4 linked regions of the Drosophila melanogaster genome follow. The protein of the gene in region 4 interacts with the protein of the main gene of each other region in a pairwise test. Each region holds a gene or a part of one and is shown on either strand. Other genes may lie near its edges.

The links.
Region 1: the proteins of ERp44 (region 4) and CG14011 interact in a two-hybrid assay, tested with the Drosophila melanogaster proteins (one large-scale study listed by BioGRID).
Region 2: the proteins of ERp44 (region 4) and ND-19 interact in a two-hybrid assay, tested with the Drosophila melanogaster proteins (one large-scale study listed by BioGRID).
Region 3: the proteins of ERp44 (region 4) and AdamTS-A interact in a two-hybrid assay, tested with the Drosophila melanogaster proteins (one large-scale study listed by BioGRID).

What each region holds. Positions count from the first base shown.
Region 1 is NT_033779.5:5,578,608-5,582,866, forward strand, and holds CG14011 (uncharacterized protein), read right to left. Parts: upstream 2,510-4,259; 5' UTR 2,359-2,509; intron 2,304-2,358; exon of another isoform or gene 2,296-2,303; 5' UTR 2,285-2,295; coding exon 1,118-2,284; 3' UTR 973-1,117; downstream 1-972.
Region 2 is NT_033778.4:24,662,356-24,666,316, reverse strand, and holds ND-19 (NADH dehydrogenase (ubiquinone) 19 kDa subunit), read right to left. Parts: upstream 1,920-3,961; 5' UTR 1,871-1,919; exon of another isoform or gene 1,861-1,870; intron 1,810-1,860; exon of another isoform or gene 1,802-1,809; 5' UTR 1,767-1,801; coding exon 1,638-1,766; intron 1,464-1,637; coding exon 1,288-1,463; intron 1,225-1,287; coding exon 1,134-1,224; intron 1,081-1,133; coding exon 949-1,080; 3' UTR 878-948; downstream 1-877. Other genes in the region: CG4806 (uncharacterized protein), read left to right, coding at 1-105; CG34214 (uncharacterized protein), read left to right, coding at 361-419, 479-866; CG30161 (uncharacterized protein), read left to right, coding at 1,988-2,743; Cpr60D (cuticular protein 60D), read left to right, coding at 3,015-3,026, 3,085-3,354.
Region 3 is NT_033777.3:15,473,024-15,478,191, reverse strand, and holds the start of AdamTS-A (ADAM metallopeptidase with thrombospondin type 1 motif A), read left to right. Parts: upstream 1-1,998; 5' UTR 1,999-2,903; coding exon 2,904-3,305; intron 3,306-5,168.
Region 4 is NC_004354.4:16,293,176-16,299,748, reverse strand, and holds ERp44 (endoplasmic reticulum protein 44), read left to right. Parts: upstream 1-2,088; 5' UTR 2,089-2,107; intron 2,108-2,509; exon of another isoform or gene 2,510-2,666; intron 2,667-2,841; exon of another isoform or gene 2,842-2,958; coding exon of another isoform or gene 2,959-2,973; exon of another isoform or gene 2,974-3,078; intron 3,079-3,161; exon of another isoform or gene 3,162-3,264; 5' UTR 3,265-3,382; coding exon 3,383-3,439; intron 3,440-3,478; exon of another isoform or gene 3,479-3,617; coding exon 3,618-3,702; intron 3,703-4,434; coding exon 4,435-4,526; intron 4,527-4,630; coding exon 4,631-5,024; intron 5,025-5,094; coding exon 5,095-5,361; intron 5,362-5,435; coding exon 5,436-5,634; intron 5,635-5,708; coding exon 5,709-5,853; 3' UTR 5,854-5,896; downstream 5,897-6,573. Other genes in the region: CG3632 (uncharacterized protein), read right to left, coding at 24-209, 278-473, 539-729, 909-1,900, 1,965-2,088, 2,959-2,973; caz (cabeza), read right to left, coding at 6,554-6,573.

The sequences.
Region 1 (4,259 bases), on a different chromosome or scaffold from region 4:
GCAAATCTGCCCGTAAACTCACCGCAATCATGGGATAACAGCTTTTCGACCGGGCATCTCTGGCTATTGTTTTTCGATGCAGCTGCATTAAAAACAAATGCAGCAGCAGCAGGTCAGCAGGTGGCTATCTAATTTTTGATTATTCGCGCGATTTGTGCGAAAAAATTAATTGAGGCCTGCGGTTTTGTTTTCTTGCGCGGCATTATTGCTGCTTTTGCACCCATTATTCATTTTGTGTGCGCTCGAAGTCGAGAAATTCGATTGGGAATCGAAATAATTTGGCATAATGAATGCGCTTCGTTACCGGCATTTTCCATTATACTAATATTTGAAATACGAGCAAAACACCACAAAAATATACTCGTTTGCTATTGAGACAAAAAGTGTATCATGTGCTCACATTGTTGTGAGTGAAAATTTGAGAAATATATAGCAGTAGTGTATAAAATGTTATTTCATTAAATATACAGACATATTCAATCATCTTTGCAATCTTGAGCAAAGCGATGCAAGTAATGGATATCTTATAGTCGATGTAACTATATCTCTCTACCTCTTGCCTTTACTATGGAAATTTCACATAAATTGTTGCATTGTAAATGCATTTGAACACTTTGAGACTGAATATAGACATATATCGCCTAGACGGTCAAATTGGATATATATGATTTATAGCATTTGCTAATGATGATGAGCATGTGTACCGTCGGGGGCATGCAACATCTCCTTTGTGGGGTCAGCTTAATGCAGCTCATTAACGGACCACCGACTCTCCTTGTATGATTGTGTAGCGGTAAACTGAATGCTTTTGACCCACTAATGAGCAAGTGGCCACTAACTGCTAAGAGCTAGTAAACTGATCATCTTTAAGGTGCAAACTGTTCTACATATTCACTTATGGAAATTTATCAAAATTACAATTATCTAAGGCTTACTATGACTTTAGAAAACTAAACCAAGAAACATTCTTTTCGGGTATTTAATAGTGCTAAATAAATAAATATGGTTACACTTGTTAAAACTTTGGTTTCACAGGGCGAGCTAACTCTCACCTTTTAGGCAGCCTGTCCAGGCCATACACTTCTCCCCACCTCCGACCATTTCAAATCCGACCAGCTTAATTCACCCACTGCTTGGGGTTTATAAAGATGTCGGAAACGGTGCCGCGCAGCGACTTCATTCCCTGGCTGGAGGGGACGGGCTTGGGCCTCTGGGCCACGTTGCTCATCCACCGACTGAAGGCCTCTTCCGCCTGCGAGCGGCGGGCGGCCTTCTCCTCCTGGCGCCGCCGCTCGGCATTCCGCTGCTCGAGGCGACGCTGTTCGAGCAGCCTAAGCTTGTGCAGCTCCCACTCCTGCAGGTGATGTTGCACAGACGCCATATTCTTTTGCGGCGGCAGCTGGGCAGAACGGTCGGGCTTGGTGAGCTTGGCGGTACTGGTGGTCTGCTGCGCCTTCTGCTGACACCACTGCTCGTACTTCTCCTTGGCGAGCCGCTGCCTCAGCTCCGTTCGCTGCCGCTGCGCCTCTCTCTCGGCCTGCTGCGCCTGCAACTTGTACTGGCACTGGCGTTGCTTGCCGGACAGCCAGTTCTCGTAGGCCTCACCGGCGGACCGCCGGATATGGAGCGGTTCGATGCGGCGGGTGTAGGTAAGGGGCGGCGATCCTACGCTCGATCCCAGGCGCAGCGAGGGCAGGCTGTGGCTTAGTGGCAACTCGAGCGGGGCCAGCATGCTGTCGTCCCGGGACATGGCCTCCTCCCAGCTGCACATCGAGGTCGTCGAGTCCTTGTCGCTGGAATTGTTGCCGCTGCGGGAAGAGGGGCAGGATCGGCTGCTGCAGCTACTCCGGTCCGTGCTGGTGCTACTGCTGGGACTGCCCAGATGCAGGCAGACCGTCTCCGACTCCGTCTGCAGCTCGATATCCTCTCCCAGTTCACCGACGCGGGGCCCCTCAATTGTCTTGGTCGACTTCAGGGTGCCCAGGGACAAATCCGAGCAGCAGCGCAGAGTGGAGGTCTCCGTCTCGTCCAATGAGTTGACTTCACTGGACGACTCGGAGCTGCCCACGTAGCGCACTGTGCTGGGGCTACCCATAGAGCGCACGAGGCTGTCCTTGTCACAGGTCTTGATGAAAGTCCTGGAACCCTTTCTTCGCGGTAGCAGTACACGAGCCCCCATCTCTCTGGCTTGGCCATCTGAATCCTGCTGGCTGGGCTGGGTCATGCAGAATAGTTCATGGTCGATAAGGGTTCCCTGACTGTTGACTTTGCCCAGAAATGCCATTTTGCAGTGCTCTTCTTTCCTAGGATTCCTCTTCTGAGTACAGATAGTAATCTTTATGGGGCAGATGAACCTACCTTCTTGTGTAGCCAATATTCAAATTCAATACGTCGTCAGGGACGATTTATGGAACACCTTGCTGGCTTCAGAACCGATAAACTTTGAAGTCTATGAAAAGTGTTTAAGTTTGTGTGTTGGAATAGCGAACAATAAACTTTTTCGTTTCTTGACATAAAACTCAAATGAGATGAATAGTCTTAGGTTCATTTTCCCCTTTTCGTTTAAATGTGAATGAATACGACATACCCTTGATTGCATGGGTATGTCCTACATATCCTTGCACCACCCTTTCGACGGCTGCCACCCTTCTCAGCTCAGGACAATGTAATGAAATGGTTGTCTACCGCACGCTTTGCGCTGCATAACATTTAGGTTTCAATTTCTATTAATATGCAATTTAGCTCTTTTTTCCTATTATAATTCTACGTCTGTGGCACACAGCTCCCCCACTCAAGCCCGGGTCCACGGATTGCCGATCGGGCCGCGCACAACTTGATTGCAGCAGCTGAAGTTGCCGCGAACGGTTGTTGCTCTTACATTCTAATCGAAATTTTTATTGTTCATAGTCACGAAAGTGCGCGGCTCTGGAGCGATGACGACAACACGGCGTCGTCTGCGGTGGTGCAGTGGCTCACCGGCTCTACAAGCCGGGTGGAGGTGGTGCGGTGGTGCAGCTGTGGCGGCAAGGTAATGTCAGTTATTTGACAGCGCCGACAGTCGAGTACGCTGCCGTGGCAGACATGCCACACTGCCTCACTGCTACATCACATCGGCTGCTCAAAGCCAGAGGCTGATCTTGGGGGGGATTAAGGGGGCCCTATTTCAGTTGGGTTTCAACTCCACTAACCTTTTTTATATATCAGCCGAAAAACTAGCTGCCCCCAAAAAAGTATATGCTGCCACTGCCACTGGTGCTCAGGTATGATTTCTAGTCGCGATGTTTAAAAGCTAAGCCAAATATGTGCCACTTTGGCATAAAAATTGCCGTGCAGGCCCTCCCACCACGCCCCCTCAGCCTATGACCACATCCGAAAAACAAAAGCGGAAAAGTGGAAAATCAGAAGCAGCAGACGTCGTTGGAAATGCAACCGGCATTATTTTATAATTTACAAACAAGTCGCACGAATGTAGCGACATTTGCAACAGGATTTGCCTTCATCGACAGCCAACGCAGATGGCCGTCCTCGAAACATGAATTTCCATTAGCGGTAGATGTATTTCACAAAACTTTTATTGATAGAAATCGAAATCGGTACCCTAAGGTACATTTACTCGAAACGCATAATTTTGTAAGAAATTTTTGGAACGTTAATGGAAAGATTGTACAATCTCATTGATTACATGGTGTGCTAGGGAAGTAGTGAAATAAACGGCTTGACTATCACATACCTGTCAATTATCAAATCGATTTCAATTCCAAGCTGAGTAAATTCTTAACTTAAAATTAATACATTTTTCGTGTCATTGTGTTCCCACATGATTTGTGAAAATTTCTACCATTATTGCCCTAAACTTAAACGAACCACTTTTGCCACAGACGTTGGATCGGTCTTTGGCCAACTTTTCTTGCTCAGTGCTTTCACTTTCAGGCCAGTCGTGCAATTAATAGGAAAACCCCATTAATGTCCTCCTCACCTCCTTTGCAAGCCAGACAAGAAGTCAGTCAAGGAGGCAGTGAGCTGAGCCCGAAAGGCGGCTGGAATATGACTTATTTAAGTCGGAGCCGCGTGTTAATAACTTTGCAAGCCTCGCCAGGCATGCAAACTTCAACCATGTGAGTGTCCTTCGTTGGATTTTCGCCTCCTTGCTGGCTCTTCTGCGTGTGGCAGGCAGATTAAAGTGACAGACAGGGCTACGCAGGCAAAATAACAAAAGGTGGTTAAGTCGTTGTAAGTGTTTAAGTCGACAAGGGGAGGTC
Region 2 (3,961 bases), on a different chromosome or scaffold from region 4:
CTAATTAATAAGTACAAGAACATGATTAGTGGAAACCAAGGAGGTGGCGGCGTTACGGGAGGTAAAATCAAGAAGCCTAAGCGTACCAAGTGGTACACGGAGTAGCGCTCCCTCTTCTAGGATAAGAAAAATCTTTTTAGCAATAAAACTGTAAATGAGAAAATCGATACAGGTAACTAACGGGAAAACTGGGACTTTTTCTTGGGATTAGAAACGGAACATCTGCTTTAGCAATGATTCTACCTGCCTGCAAGTCGCGTATTATGCATATATAGTCTGAGCAGTGGACCAAGTTCATTAGTATTGCATAGCAGTGCCTGTGAAGTGCGTCGTCCGCATAAAAATAAAATTATCTTCAAGATGGCTCCTCGAGAGAAAGTTGAATTTGTGCTGGTGCGCCTGGCCTTTGTTCCTTACATGTAAGCAATTAATATAAATACCCAAGAGATCGCCAGAAACTCATTCATTCCTGTCGCAGAAATCCTCTGTACCCGCGCATCAGCTACCAGATCAGAAAGCACGCTCCCACCGGATCGATTATCCAAGTGCGCGATTGGTTCGAGCATGTGATGATGAGGGAGCGCTCCAAGCTGCCCCCAGATGCTAACATACGCTACGCAGAGTGGCGCATCATCACCGGCGACATGGAGCTGTTTCAGGTGCAGGGCGTCCGCTTCGACAAGATCATGCTGGTGCTGGGCGAAGAAAACATCTCGTGGGTCTTCTATCAGAACACGCCACTTTTCCGCCGTATCGAGGGCAGCGCCTGCTTCCCTGTTAGCTACTGCGGATGCTGCCTGAACAACCAGTACCTGGATATTATGGCCAAAATCAAGCAAACTGTGTCGAGGAAAAAGATACGATGAAATAAATATATCGAGTACTAATGGAAACAAGAGTTTATATTAAGATGAACGCTTTCAAATTTCACTAGGCGCTGGCAGCTGTCTACTCCAGCCAGTGGAAGCGGGAACCGTACTTTGCTGGCGGCTTGGGGTAATCCTCGGGCAAACCGGGGGTGGCATCGGGATAGGAGACCTTCTCCTCCTTCTTGGGTGCTTCCCGAGCTGATTGGATGACCTGAAAACAGAAGTGATTAGGAGAGGTCTAAATAAAGCATGCCGAGAAATTACCTTGGCCCTCGAGAAGTATCCATAGGAGGGACGATCCCAGTCGAAGTTATCTTTGATACACTTGTCGAACACTCCCTGGGTCTTGCGGCAACTAAAGTATGGATGGACATTGGTATAGCATGATTGGAATATTCAACATTTACGGAGTGCTTACTGTGAAAAAGCCATAGTACCGCTGCTCTTATCCAGGCAGGTGGCGTACTGCGTGAACTCCTCATGGCAGGTCTTCTTCACCTTGCGGAAGAAGTCCAGGGCGCAGCTGGTCACGGCTTTGCCCTCCGCCAAACAGGCTCGCGGGTCATCCAGCTCCTGCCGGCACAGCATAAACTCCTGAAATTACACGAAGGAAAAGGTAAACAAACGGGGAAGGTGCTTTTTGAGGTTAGGTTATATAACTAAGCCGCTCGGATTTTAAAGAGGCAGCGGCTCCCAGCTTCACTTTAAGGCGCTTTTCACCTAAGCATTACTATCAGGAGGATTCCCCTGCAATCTGGATGTACTAACATTATTGGCCTGCTCGCATTGCTTGCCCAAATGGAAGGCGCCTGCCCGTAAGGCCGCCGACGATAGATTTAGCTCCTGGACGTTCAGCTCCGACTCCTCGGGCAGTGTTGTGTTGTTGGTGATGACCATAATAGCGTTGCAGTCCTGTGCGATCAACCAAAAACCTGAAAGGCTATGAAATTCAATAAAAAACAAAATAATTGTAGGATTTTGTTAATTTTACGTTTGCTTACAACACAACAGCTGATTTAGATCCAGGGCTGCTGAGACGTAGCTGTCAATAACAATTTATATCGATAGTGTAGCCGTTTCACAAAGTCATCGATAACAGGCTCACAATTTAAATTAAAATGATTTCTTTAATCTTATACATCTGTCTATTTTATAGTGCTGCAGCTGATCGCAATTTAAAAGTAGTTAAGTATGAGAATTCGGTTGACACCATTGTTAAGAACCTCATCGACAACTGGCAGTCGCCGCTAGTTTACCTGAAAAGCCGCGGCTACCTGCCGAAGGATGCGCCCGAAATGGATTTCCAGCAGCTGCAAGGGAACTTGGACCCCAAATTGTCGTTAAACGACTTAGTTGAGCTGAACAAGGATTCCAAGCGGGAGGCGGAAACCAAAAGCCAAGACAATTCCATTGGGCAGATTGATCCGCGGGCAGTCCGATCGCTACAAGATCCCAAGGACCTCGAGCTGAAGAAGATGTTCCAAACGCTGTTCTCTTCGAACGACAAGACTGCCTCCGAGGAGATCAAATCCAAGCTGGGAGTGTCCTGGGATATGAATGCTTTAAAGACATCCGCCCGTTTGGGTGCCAAGAAATATCTCGAGAAGTTCAACAACAAGCGAAATAAGGGGATGTCTCTCTTGCCAATTGAATCCTCAGATGGGACACTTACTAACGAGGCATCTCTAAATTTTTCCTCACTTATACCGCATGCCTTGGAAAAGAAAAGCAACGATTCTGTGAGAAAAACCACTATCAGTAAGCCAAGCTTTCTGAAGGGTGTGGCCAAGATTCTGAGCAATCCAGAAATTAGGTATAGAGACTGGGATTCCAAGCCTGCACAAGAAATCCTTCCGAAGGCCGCGGGCGCATAGTTTTCAAATTCATTGTTGATGATTAAATGTTCTTTTAGTAGCAAAATGGGTTAACAAAATCGCAATCAATTAGTTGGGGGAGGCTGGCCTGCTTCTGGTGCCAGAAGCAGACTCGATTGAGTAGCCGCAAATTTCATATTCATGGCTGTCTGGTTAATCTCAGTCATTTCATTAGCAGATGCGATTGAAACCCGTTTAGTGGGCTAGGCAGCTTCGGAGTATAGTATAAAAGGCCGACGGGCATTGTTTCATTTCAAGAAGCTGCTCCAAAATGCTGAAATATGTGAGTTTAATCGGATTTCAAACAGACTATTGGATAATCAGCCACCTCTCAATTTCAGAGCCTTATCTTTGCCCTTTTCGTCGTTTTGGCCAGCTGCAGTGAGGAGGATCTGCAGGCGCAACTTCTGAAGTCGGAGAACCGCCAGAACCTGGATGGAGCTGGGCAGTTCCAGCATGAGATCACGGTCAGCAATGGGATCCAAGTGAAAGCTCAAGGCAATGTGAACGGCATCCAGGGCGAATACTTCCTTCCCGGCGAAGATGGCAAGCAAATTCGCGTGACTTACACCGCAGATGCAACCGGCTTCCATCCGAAGGTTGAAGAGTGACCGAGTGACTTTGATGTTATGTTAATCTTAACTTATAAAACGGCGGTTTTTTCCATAAAATGAGTGGTGAGGTAATGTCTTGTTGTTCCAATAAAACGTTCCCCTGGTAGAACTCATATTGAGAGCTGTTGGGCTACAGTTCATAGAGCGCTTCAGCATCTTCATCCAAGGGTCTGTCCAATTAGACATTGCGCTTACAGAGCCCCTGAATGGGTCATGTGGAATGATGATGATTTCCTCATCCCACACTGCTGCACAAATAAAAGGTTACCGAACAGCACTCAGCTTTATAATCAATGCCGACAGGCGGCATAAAATACGCATTGTCATCCGCATAATAAGGAACCCAGCGGAAATGGGGCAAAGTGGGGGAACTCACCGGAAGGGAAGCCATTGGGGCTATTGTTAAACGGCAAATTCAAATATGGACTCGCCCATTGTGCGGGGCCATTGGAATATGTTACGGAAATGACAACTTAAATGGGTGCTGCTCCCATTCGGCCCATTCGGCCCATTTCCCATCCGCGTATCCTTGAAAAGCACAATTCTGCATGATGGTTTTATAAATGCAATTGGCTTTATAACAAACAGATATTTAGACAGGAGG
Region 3 (5,168 bases), on a different chromosome or scaffold from region 4:
AAAAGTTTATGGCTATCTGCCCGCCTTATGATCTAAATGCGTTAATTATTAGGATGATACAATGCGATCGGAGCAGATAGCATAGATACAAAAATGGATAGACAGATAGATACATTGTGGTCAGCGGTCTCCAGTGGCTCGATCATTAGCATCTGAAAACCAGCGGCGCCTCTTTGAGCAATATTTCCTAATTTAGAACGTATGCTTTCCTACAGATCAGTATGCGATTTGCTAGACTGAGCAATTTATTAGTGACTTGGGGAGAGACTCCAGCTAGGAGTCGTTTATTTTGTTTAGTGGCTGTGTAAACATTGCTTACAGGGCATGATGATTAGTTCGGTGTAATACAAACAGCCTTCTTGGGGAACTCACTTGCCCCCTCCAGACTTTTAGGGCTATTTTGTAAGATGTTCTGTTATGGCTGCTGTTTTATGTTGGCATCATTTGGATGCCGGCTGTTTGTTGTTGATTACAAAACAAGCGTTTTGTTGCCGATTGCATGGTTGCATGGAGAACGCTCTTCCTGGAATCTTTTGAGATGTTTTTCATTAGTCCACCATTCTCGCAACATCCGTAGTATATGAATATGCATCATCGTATTTTGGAATATTTTTAAATTTTCGCCGACCTCCACGGCGGCGAAATGGATTTTTAATTTCCAACTATACTTTAATTTGGCAAACGAGCTCTGGTCTTTTAATTGATTAATTCTTATTGCTGCGTTTGATTAAAGAAAATATTTAGTATACAATAGGGTCAATTGCTACATATGGTAATTTGGCACAGAAGACATTTATGTGGAAGAGTTCTCGGCGTTCAAATAATGGAGCGAATGGCTACTATTTTTATTCACTGACGCGATCAGTAGATTGATCTTGACCCACATTGGATGGGCTGGGATCCGGCAGATGTCGCACACTCTATGCCCAAATGAGACAATATAAAGTATAAAGTATAAAGTATTGTTTATAATGATACCAATTTGAGACAAATCAGTTACACTTGCCTATCTAAACTATTACGATATGTTTGTTCAGCTTGTGTAGATTATTTAGATATATCTTTATATTTGTCGCATTTCTGAGTAAAGGCTGTCGTGTCAGTTTATTTACGTCAAAAAAAGAATTTTTTTTGATACTGATGAGCTAGTCATCATTGTACCATTCTCTGTGATCATCAACTTCCTTTTTTTCTTCCGAAATGACTTCTTCCGGAAGTGCACCACTGGTAATGCCCAGGGTCTTATCCTCTATTTCAAAAGAATTCGTATTCAAAGTTTTTAGTACTGCTCGGTGCGATTAGTAATGCATAGGCTAGTAAAATAAGTCATAAGTAAAAAGAGTTTTATTATTTACTCAAGTACATACTTACTCAAATTGGTTGGTATCACACAAGTGTGAACATGTTTACAAATTTTGATTACTTTTAAAAACTATTACTGAATAAAGCATGCAGCATAAGCCTATTTTTTTTTTTTTTAATATTTATATTATTTCATCCGAAAAGGCAGATACTCTAGATGCAAAGATTGTTACTATGCTAACACACCTTATCTTATCCGATGATAATTATGTCCACACACTTAATCCTCACATGTGCAAAAATATTGAGTAAGCAGAGGCGCACTTAAGAGAGCGTTCGAGTGCTCTTTTAAGCCGCGCTCGGCTCTCTTTTCGCCACAGCGCTCTCTGCGCAGAGAAGCCGGCTGTTCTGCGTACTGATATGATTCTGACGTATTTCTAATCTCTCTAAAACACTCCTTCGGAATCGAAATCCTAAGCCCATTCAGCAAACCCATATCCCTATACTCGTGCCTACATACGAGTATGTACATACATATGTACATATGTATGTATGTATGTTGTACAGCATATAGCTGCGAGAGAACCGCTTTTAGCTTTCGGAGCGATATATGTTCGCGATCTCAGATTGCTTGGCGGTACGGCGGAACGTCCGCTACCAACTGCTGTTCGGCGAGCAGTGTTCAGTCCGCAGCGGGAACTCAAGCGAGCCGAAACGAAACATCGCCAGATACAGATACAAATTCTCTGGTTCGCAGCATTGGTCTGGTCCATCGGCTCGTTCTCGTCCGTTTCATTTATTTGCGCGCGCGCGGTAGTATCAGACAATTGCTAAAGTTCCATTTGTAATATTAATCCAGTTGCGATTTCTAATTCGAATTTGAATACGTATTCATCCCAGTGCGCCAGTGTATTCCGTATCCTGACCAGCCATGTCGGCCAGATGGCGATAGCGATGCCGATGCCAAACGATCGGCGTGTTCTTGTGAACTCTGACATGGTGCTCAGTTGTGGGACAACCTTCGCCACCGAAAAGTTTGCAAAAATAGCCGCTGGCCGAAAGCGAAAAGAAAGCCAGCAACTCAGAATGCCAACGGTGGCCAAGTTAATGGTGCAGCTCGAAAGTGAATGCATTCGGCGCGATGTGTGAAGTTCAAGCTTAACATTGGCCAAAACCCAACCGCAACTGCGAATAAATTCTGTGATTCGGCAAAAAGATTCATCATGAGATCGTACAATGGCTCCAGTACTAAGTAGTTTATCTAGCTAATCGCAGCCATAAGTGTGAGTCGTTTTAATACCCACGAGCCGTAGTCTTTGCCTTTCTGTTCGTTCGTATTTTCGCATTTTTTGGCGGGTGCGGTGCCCACGGCAACGGAACGAGACTGTCGCATTTCAATTAACAAAATAAGCAAAAAGCCAAAGAGCCAAAGAGCCATAGAGCCAACATAAGTGTAAAGATACATATATCTACAAGATATACGTATAGCCGTATATACGCATACTGTGGATTTTGTTGCTCTTTCGCGCGCATTTTTGCACGTGCCATTTGGGATTTCGGATTTCTGAGATTGGAGATCGCTATCTTATCTGGTCATCGCCATGTCCATGCCGGATGCCGGTTCACTTAAATCGCCCGCCGGCGGCCAGGAGGTCGAGTGCCATCGCCTGCTGTCGGACCTGCCCGCCTTCGCGTATCCCAGCACCACACTGCGGTCCACAACTTCTGGTCACAGCACTGGCACGAATAGTACCACTGTCTGCGAATCTCCCGGTGCTCGGGATCGTACCTCCTTCGCGTGCTCCTCCTCTTGCGTATCATCCGCCTGCTCAGCCACCGCCTCCGATGACGACGAGGATGAGCGTGCCCTTGAGCGCTGTCTGCGTGGGACGACGGACGACCTTGGGGAGTCCGGCCTGCGGTATTCGCTGAAAGGACCACCGCCGGAGCTCTACTCGGCCAAGAAGGACTTCATCAGCAAGGGTCCGCTGCTGGGCAGACAGGTAGGTCCTAAATCCGAGCTCTACATAAGTATAAATATTTTTGGAGGCCTAGTCCGCCGCATCGAATTTCGTGGGCTGATCGAATTCGCAGACCGGGATTTTAACGATTTTTCATTTATTTGTGTTTGTATTCGTCTCTGTCTCTCTCTCTCTTTTTTTTCTACTTTATCGAAATCGGCTGGCCAAGCGAAAACCAAATTTAAGTTAATTTATTGCATTGATTCCACATCAATGTGTCGAGTTCTTTCCTTTCTTTTATAATTTCGGTTGATTTGCCGATATTTTGGTGTGCTCGTCTCGTTTTGTATGCCGCATTGTTTTATTTCGTTTCATTTCATTTCATTTCATTTTTTTTTTTGTTTTGTTGCTTTTGCCGCCACTCTGGCTCTCTATTCGATTTTGATTAAATACCACTGGCGACACAAAGAAAGCGACAACCAAAGCGTTGACCACCGCATTTGAATTCACACGCCTCACTGGCCACGAAGCACCGCGCACGCGGCAGCGGAAATGTGAATCTGGATCCCAAGTTGGATCCACGATAGGATTCTCGGCAACCTCACCGTTCGACAGCTTCAAACAGACTGAAGATGGCAACGTGTTCGAAGCACTTCGATCCAAATGCGCCAGAGCGCCTCCACGAAGTGCATTCATATATCAAGCAATCTGGTCATCAAACTATTCCTTTTGGTTTGGGTTTGCAGCTCCCACTTCTTTAGCTGACTCATAATCCATCCATTTGCGTCACACAGGGTCTGCTGATGTATGTCGGACGTGTGTTTCCGCCAGGTTGCCACTATCTTGCTCTAGCTCTGCAGCAACAATTTTCGGGAAAGCGAAAGATTCTGCAGCATCGGGAGCACATGTCCCACAGGAGATAAGAACATAAAAGATATCTAATAGAGATAAAGAACAAAGACGCCCCTGTCTGGATGTCACTGATATTCCATATTCCAGACAGGATTGGGTACGAACTTTTTTTTGCCCATTAGTGCGAGGCAGACGACGAATTAAGATGCAAATTTCGATAAACATTTTCAAGTTCGGTTTAAGGAAATGGTATTGCAGTTACACACGACCTGGGTGGAAACAGCACATAACTACGATTTACAGAGCTCAACAAGGTGTGAAAAGCGTTTGTTTCGGGACGTGACAACAACGTGAATGGAAACATGCCTAAATCACGGCTTACTGGCTAACTGGCAAGCTGGCTAACTGGCTAACTGGCTAGCTGGCTTACAGGCCATTAGAATTTTATCAACGTCCGCCTGGCGGGCAATGTAAAATGTGAAAAACGACACGATCCCCCGGTCCATGAATACATAATAATGCATAATAATGTTGGGTGCGCGAGTGGTGAAGTCTGTAGGCCCAACTGCCACTGATAACGGGCCATGTGTGGCAACGTAACCCCCTCGGGATCGAATGGGAATAGGATGTACTGTCTATTTGGGTTGTATGTATAAACTCGTATGCACATCGCTTGGCATTTTAGAAGCACATGAGTAATTGTGACATATTCAGTGCGGTGCGACTCGATTCACTCGCTGTTGTGAATGTTTCGAAAATAGATTTTCTAGTTTTTCGCGTGGCGCCTAGAATCTGAGAAGTCGGGAAATACATGCATGTAAGTAAGGCTGCGCCGTCCAATTTGTATTTCGACAATAAAATTTTCACAATGTGTAGAATTTGAATATTTATTTTCTTGCTTTTTGTTTCTGTTTCGCGTTTTGTCTTTTTTTTTTATTTATTTATTTAGTTTTTTTTTTTGAGTCGTACGTCGTCGCTTTGCGCGTGTTTCTCTGTTCTCTTTTTTCAATTTATTTCGTCTACTTTAAATAAAAACAAAAAAATATGCTAGTT
Region 4 (6,573 bases):
CGAAATTCCATGCCACCACTTACCAAATAGCTTATACTAAACTCAAAACTGCATGGATACTGCCTGTGTATTTGATGCACAAGATCAAGCCACTGCAGAAAAACTGGACATCGCTCGTTAACTTCATCGGAATTGGGACCATTTCCAGAGCGATCGGCGAATTTGTGTCCAAAGTTCAGCCATTCACGCTCGACAAGAACGCGGAACCCCTGCAAATACAAGCAAGTAGGTAGAGTATTAGTCCATAGAACACAAATGTTGATGTATATCAACGTACCTCAACCGTTCTGTAGTAGGGATCCAAACATAATTGCGCCGTGGCCACGATCTGTGGAGTGCGATCCCAACCGTCTGAGCAATGTACAAGGACGGGTCGTCCATTCTTCTCGATGGTGTGCACAACGGTCATGGTGGCTCCCAGCAGACCCGACAGGTGCTGCATCCACATGGTCTTTTCCAGTTGTCCGTACCAGCTGCAAGAATATGATTCCATTACATAAATATATATATATCTTTAATAATCAGCTAGTAAACTTACTTTGGATCATCGGGGGATGACGCGCATAGCTGTCGGACAGCGTGGAAACTCTTTCGAATGGCGTGGATGTTGCCCAAGTTCATAAACTCAATCTCTGCACAGGGATAGTACTCGATGCACTCACAGCCGCCACCTCTGGCACGATTTGTAACTGCGGAGGTGTAGCTGCGAGCATCCACAATGAGGATTTTCTGAAAGCAAATACAATTTAAGAGCAATGATCAAATTATTTCATTAGCACTTGGCGGTTTTGACATCATTTTACTGCTCCGTGTTAAGTAATTTATGATAATTATTCATGAATGTTTTCTTATATGGTAACTGAAACCTTCATTTCAAGAATACCCGGCTATTTTGGTAATAAACTTACCTTGATTTCATCCAGCGTGAGTTCCTCATGCGAGGAATCGTCCAGAGATGGTGAACTCTTGCCGGATAAGCCCGACTGGCCGTTGGTCTCCTTGGAGCCCTTTGTTGGTTGCGCCTTTGCATTGGCGCAGGTGGAATGCCTGGCGTGCTCGCCCCTGTCAAAGGCACAGGCATCGGCGAGTGCCTTGAGTAGCTGCTCGTCCCTTGTGTTGCGCCAGCCGAGCCAACCGACCTCCGGCTGGCTGCATCGGGCCAAGATGGCACCCGACTTTTGGTGCCGCCAGACGACAGCCGGCAGCCTTCGTGATCCCCGGAAGTTGGCCACGTTGTGGAGCATCTCATCGGTGATACAGCAGGGCACAAGCAATTTGGGTGGATACGAGGGACAGAGCTTAAAATCGGCATTGGCCGTGGAGATGCGCCACGAGCCCTTCAGATCGAATCCCAAGCGGGCAACCTCGTTCTTAAAGTCGCTTTCATAGCGCACTGATCGTTGCAGGCGATTGCTCATGGCGGCTGAGATGGTCTCGCTGGCAGGATCGGGCAGAGGATTCGACGCTGTGACGTTGGCTGTTGGCTTTGCCAAGCCATTGTGTAGCGTTAGGCAACGATCCTTGGCAATCAGGCCGTTTCCGTTGGCCTGGGCGCTAACGATACCGCTTCCATTGCCACTTCCGAGCACATCGCAGGTCCAGGAGTAGAAGGGAAAGGCGAAGAGTGTCTCCAGTGACTCGGGAACCCCGATCATCAGATGGATCCGGCGCTGCCAGTCGGAGCACTGTTCCGCCGACGGAAAGGAGCAGCGCACAGTGCTGGCATCCTTACAATTGACAATCAGCTGGAACAGATCTCGCACCTGTACGGATTCGATTAATCCCAATGGAACGTAGGTCTCGTAGCCGGTTGACTGCTTGGAAAGGAATATCCGATAATTGGACAGGGCGAGGATACCATCATCCGTGCGCCCCAGGTACTTAATCGATTCGCCGGCCACTAGTGGTATATATACTATAGATTAGCATGTGTTATCGGTTACAGCATATGGGGGAACACCTACACTCTTGAAACGGGACGAACAGCTGGGAGTCTTCCTTCTCCATTTGTGACTTTGGATACGATTCGGCGGCACGGATAAAGCAAATCGATGGAGGCGGTGATCCATCGGACATTGTGTGAATCGGCTAAAAGAATACTTAACATGTAACGTATTCGAAATTACTTATTTGCTTATATTTAGGCAAGGCGATTTGGGTGTCATTGGAAATCCGGTTATCGCTTATAAGTGCATATATCTCTTATATCCACCATCCGAATACATAATTACGCACAACAGTGTGTGTGCGATGTTATTGGGACGATTCGATACGTATAGTATAGTGGCTCCCATAAATAAATAAATAATACTATGCACATATGTGCATGTGCATTAAGCAGTGCACAAACAAAGCCAAATAAATGTCACTGGGATGATAAATTGGGCACAATCAACACTTTTAGAACAAATCGAAGTTAATATTTGAGTTTTTGAGTGTCGTGGTGGCAATATAGATAATGCACTGCATATATATGCACGTATGGATGTACAATGTACAATGAACATACATTTATGTGAGCACACACAGTTGCAGTTCCACAAGGTGCGCAATATATAGTATGCACATATTTGTGTGTCGCTGCATTACATACGCACGCACATATATACCAATAGACTAGATTATCACGATTTCATAGCCAATAGGCGAAAAATGGCCGATTATCGTACTCAACGTATTCTAATGGCCGTGTATGTTGTCATAAACAAAGTAATTAAACATTTACGCATGTGTATGTTTGCATAAACTCATATGTATATTTGTCTATGTAGGTATGTTTGTGTTTCGATATTTCGGGGAGCAACAATAACACATTACAATCGTACATATGTATGCACACACATTTGGTTTTTGGATTCCACAAACCGTTCGCTCAGCAGACTTTTCGGGGTATTTAGCTCAAAACGTATTGCCGAATTGAAAACGCGCTTGGCTTCTAGATTTTCTCGCTCTATTTACCACCATAAAATCCATAAGCGTCAGCTATTATAAACAAAGATTTGCAAATGTTGTTGCACATACATATGTATGCATATGTATTCATTTAGACACTTTTTGTTTCATTTCCATTGAAATTGCTATCGTTGTTTGCTGCTATCGCTGTTATCGCTGCTGTTAGCGATGGCCAAGTCATGTGACTAAGCTATCGTTACTCGATTGCCGATGAGATGTGCATTCGAGACTAACCAACACTGGCCAGCCGATAAAATCAACCAAAAATTTGTAAAACTTAATAATTGTGCGTACGTTTGCATTCCATTCCAGCTGATGTGTAACTGAAATCAGAAAAAAAGAGAACCGATCGCTTGGACTCTCCGCCGGTGCACGCAATTCTACGCCCACTCCTCGCCAGCCGCATTCGCCATTCGGAAGCCGAACAAGAATGTTTGGAGCCAGAATCGGAATCGGAAAGCTTGGGCCGTGTGTGGCCCTAGTTGCGGTGAGTCGACGTGTTCCGTTCTGTCTGGTCATGTTGCTGGTCACTGGAGTGGCTCACCCGCTCGATCAGCGGGCGGGGAAACAGTGGGGAGGGGCCGGCCAGACAGCCCCGGCTTTTTTTTGGCTCCCCCTAACCAAATAACTAACTAACCAGAACTGACATCCTATGGAATTTACAGATTCTACAGCTACTCCAGTACACACAGCCGGCCGATGCCGCCGGAGCCGTGCCCATGACCAGTGATAATATCGATATGACCCTAGGTGAGATATGCCCATACCATAACCATCACAGTCATCCCCATGCCATTCCCGCTGCCAGCGTGAGCGGGAATCAATTAGCCGACTTGTCCCATTGACGTGTCACTAAACAAAATCACTGGCTCGCTCAATTCGGCACTGCCAACGTGGTAAAATAAGTTTTATGCGCTTTCGTAAAGGACAAGGTGTGGAATTTGGATAAAACTTAATTAGGGCGGTTTATATTTCATGCTGCATCGGTCCGATAGTCCGCCAAAATGGGCACTAGCCATTGGTCGGCAGTTCTTTGCTCAGAATGTCCGAAGTTTGGTCTTTGCATGAATAGGTCCTTTTTATACGGTGTGTCCTGTACACAATCCTGCGGTAATACTATATTGTTTTTTTAAAGTTATTTTTTTTTATTATCCAAACGTTAACTTTTACAGTAAAGCCTGGCCTTAGGCTTGCACCCCTTAAATTTTAACTTTCGGAAGTTATGGAATAGTAGGATGCTAGAAATTTCTTGACTTTAATATGTATATTCAGCGACAAATTTAAATATATTCCATAAAAATACATATGCATTTAAATTATTAATACATAAACCCGTAATTCAATATTGATATAAATATATTACCAAATATATGTTTTTAAAAGTTATTATATTTAGTATCTGAACGGAGTTGTATTCTACGCATCAACAATTTTACACACAATTTGGTGCCTACATTAAAAACACGTTTTGTTTTCTTGCAGCGTCTAATGAATTGGTTTTCCTTAATTTTTATGCGGAGTGGTGTCGGTTTAGTAATATTTTAGCACCTATATTCGCGGAAGCTGCAGATAAGGTGAGTCAAATGGATCGCCAGTAAAAGCTTACAAACAATGCGATACATTCATATACATTTTATATCGAATAAATACGTGGCATTCAATCGAATTTCTCTTACAGATTAAAGAGGAGTTTCCAGAGGCTGGAAAAGTGGTGCTAGGCAAGGTCGATTGCGACAAGGAAACGGCCATCGCGTCCCGTTTCCACATAAACAAGTATCCAACATTGAAAATTGTACGCAATGGGCAGCTCAGCAAGCGCGAATACCGAGGACAGCGTTCAGCCGAAGCGTTCCTCGAGTTCGTCAAGAAGCAGCTGGAGGATCCCATTCAGGAGTTCAAATCCCTGAAGGATCTGGAGAACCTGGACTCGAAGAAGCGCCTCATTCTGGGCTACTTCGATCGTAGGGACCAGCCAGAGTACGACATATTCCGCAAGGTGGCGACAAATCTGAAGGAAGACTGCCAGTTCCACGTGGGCTTCGGAGATGCCGCCCAGGCCATGCATCCACCAGGTGAATTCTATCAAACGCACCAAGTCATGCCAAGCCAATACTGAATGTCAGCTTTTTTGGTCTATTACAGGTACACCTATCATAGTATTTAGACCTGATGTAGCTCTGTCTCATGAGAACGATGAGACCTACACTGGCAGCCTACAAAATTTCGATGAGCTCAAAATTTGGGTCCAAGAGAAGTGTGTACCCCTGGTGCGGGAAATAACATTTGAGAATGCAGAGGAACTTACGGAGGAGGGTCTGCCGTTCCTAATTCTCTTCCACCACCCAACCGATCATAATTCTATCAAGGATTACAAGTCGATCATTGAGCGTCAATTGCTGGATGAGAAACGTAAGATGAATCATCGTGTTGTTTACTTTGCATATAAGCATTTGGTTTGACATTGTATTTTCGAAATTTTGCAGAGAACGTCAACTTTTTGACCGCCGATGGCAAGCGATTCGCGCATCCTCTGCACCATCTGGGTAAATCCGAGGATGACTTGCCCTTGATTGCCATCGACTCGTTCAAGCACATGTATCTGTTCCCCCACTTCAGTGACATGTACTCGCCGGGTAAGCTGAAGCAGTTCCTTCAGGATCTCTACAGTGGCAAGCTGCACAGGTAATTGTTATACAGCCGCCTTTGCTAACACCATGGGGCTCAATTACTAAACGGTCTGCTGCTTTGCTTTCCAGGGAATTTCATTACGGGCCGGATCCCTCAAATGATATTGAACCTGACCCACACACTGGCAAGGGTACATCGCCACCAGAGTCCAAATTCAAGGAACTTGGCCCATCCAAGCATCGCTACACCCTGCTAGAAAAAGATGAACTGTAATATAATAATAATAATGTATATTGAAAATAAAAGAAAATAATACAAAAATGTAATAATGAGCAACCTTCTCTGAAAGCAGATCAGCAGGTGAGCGGTTATCCATGCAAATAGCGGGCGCAGCAGCCTCAATTCTCTTCAATGCAATTCTAAAAATAAAAAGTCTGGATTTAACCACCTTTGTTATTGCAAAAAGAAACAGTTGCTGAATTATCCACAAATTGCACGCGTCACTTTTCAAGTTTTCCTCGTTTTGTTGTTAAAAATTACGCTGGAGATTTCGGCGAGGCGAACTTATTGAATTCTTTGGAATCCCCTTCTTAGTCAGCTAAGCTGGAAATGAATGATGTCAACTTCCGAATTCAAAGCAGTGATTTTGATTTTCTCTATATATATATATATATACACATATATATGAGCTATATATGTATACATATATATATGTTTATTCGTATGTACCATGTTACAGTTACAGTTGTTAAATTAGATTACATAATTATATAATATAATTCAGTCAAAACGAGCGATAACCGTGTGTGTGTTGGGATAAAAATCGGTTCAAATGAAGTCGTGTGCTGGCAATTATCATTTAAAAGTTGCTCTGACTGTTAATTTTAAAAGTACATTTAAAAGCGTACTCTCGCTACAATTAATAAGTAAAAGTGAAAAAAATAGGTGCCGCGTTCGGCTGGCTACCATGCGCTTAATATGGTCTCGAGCGCA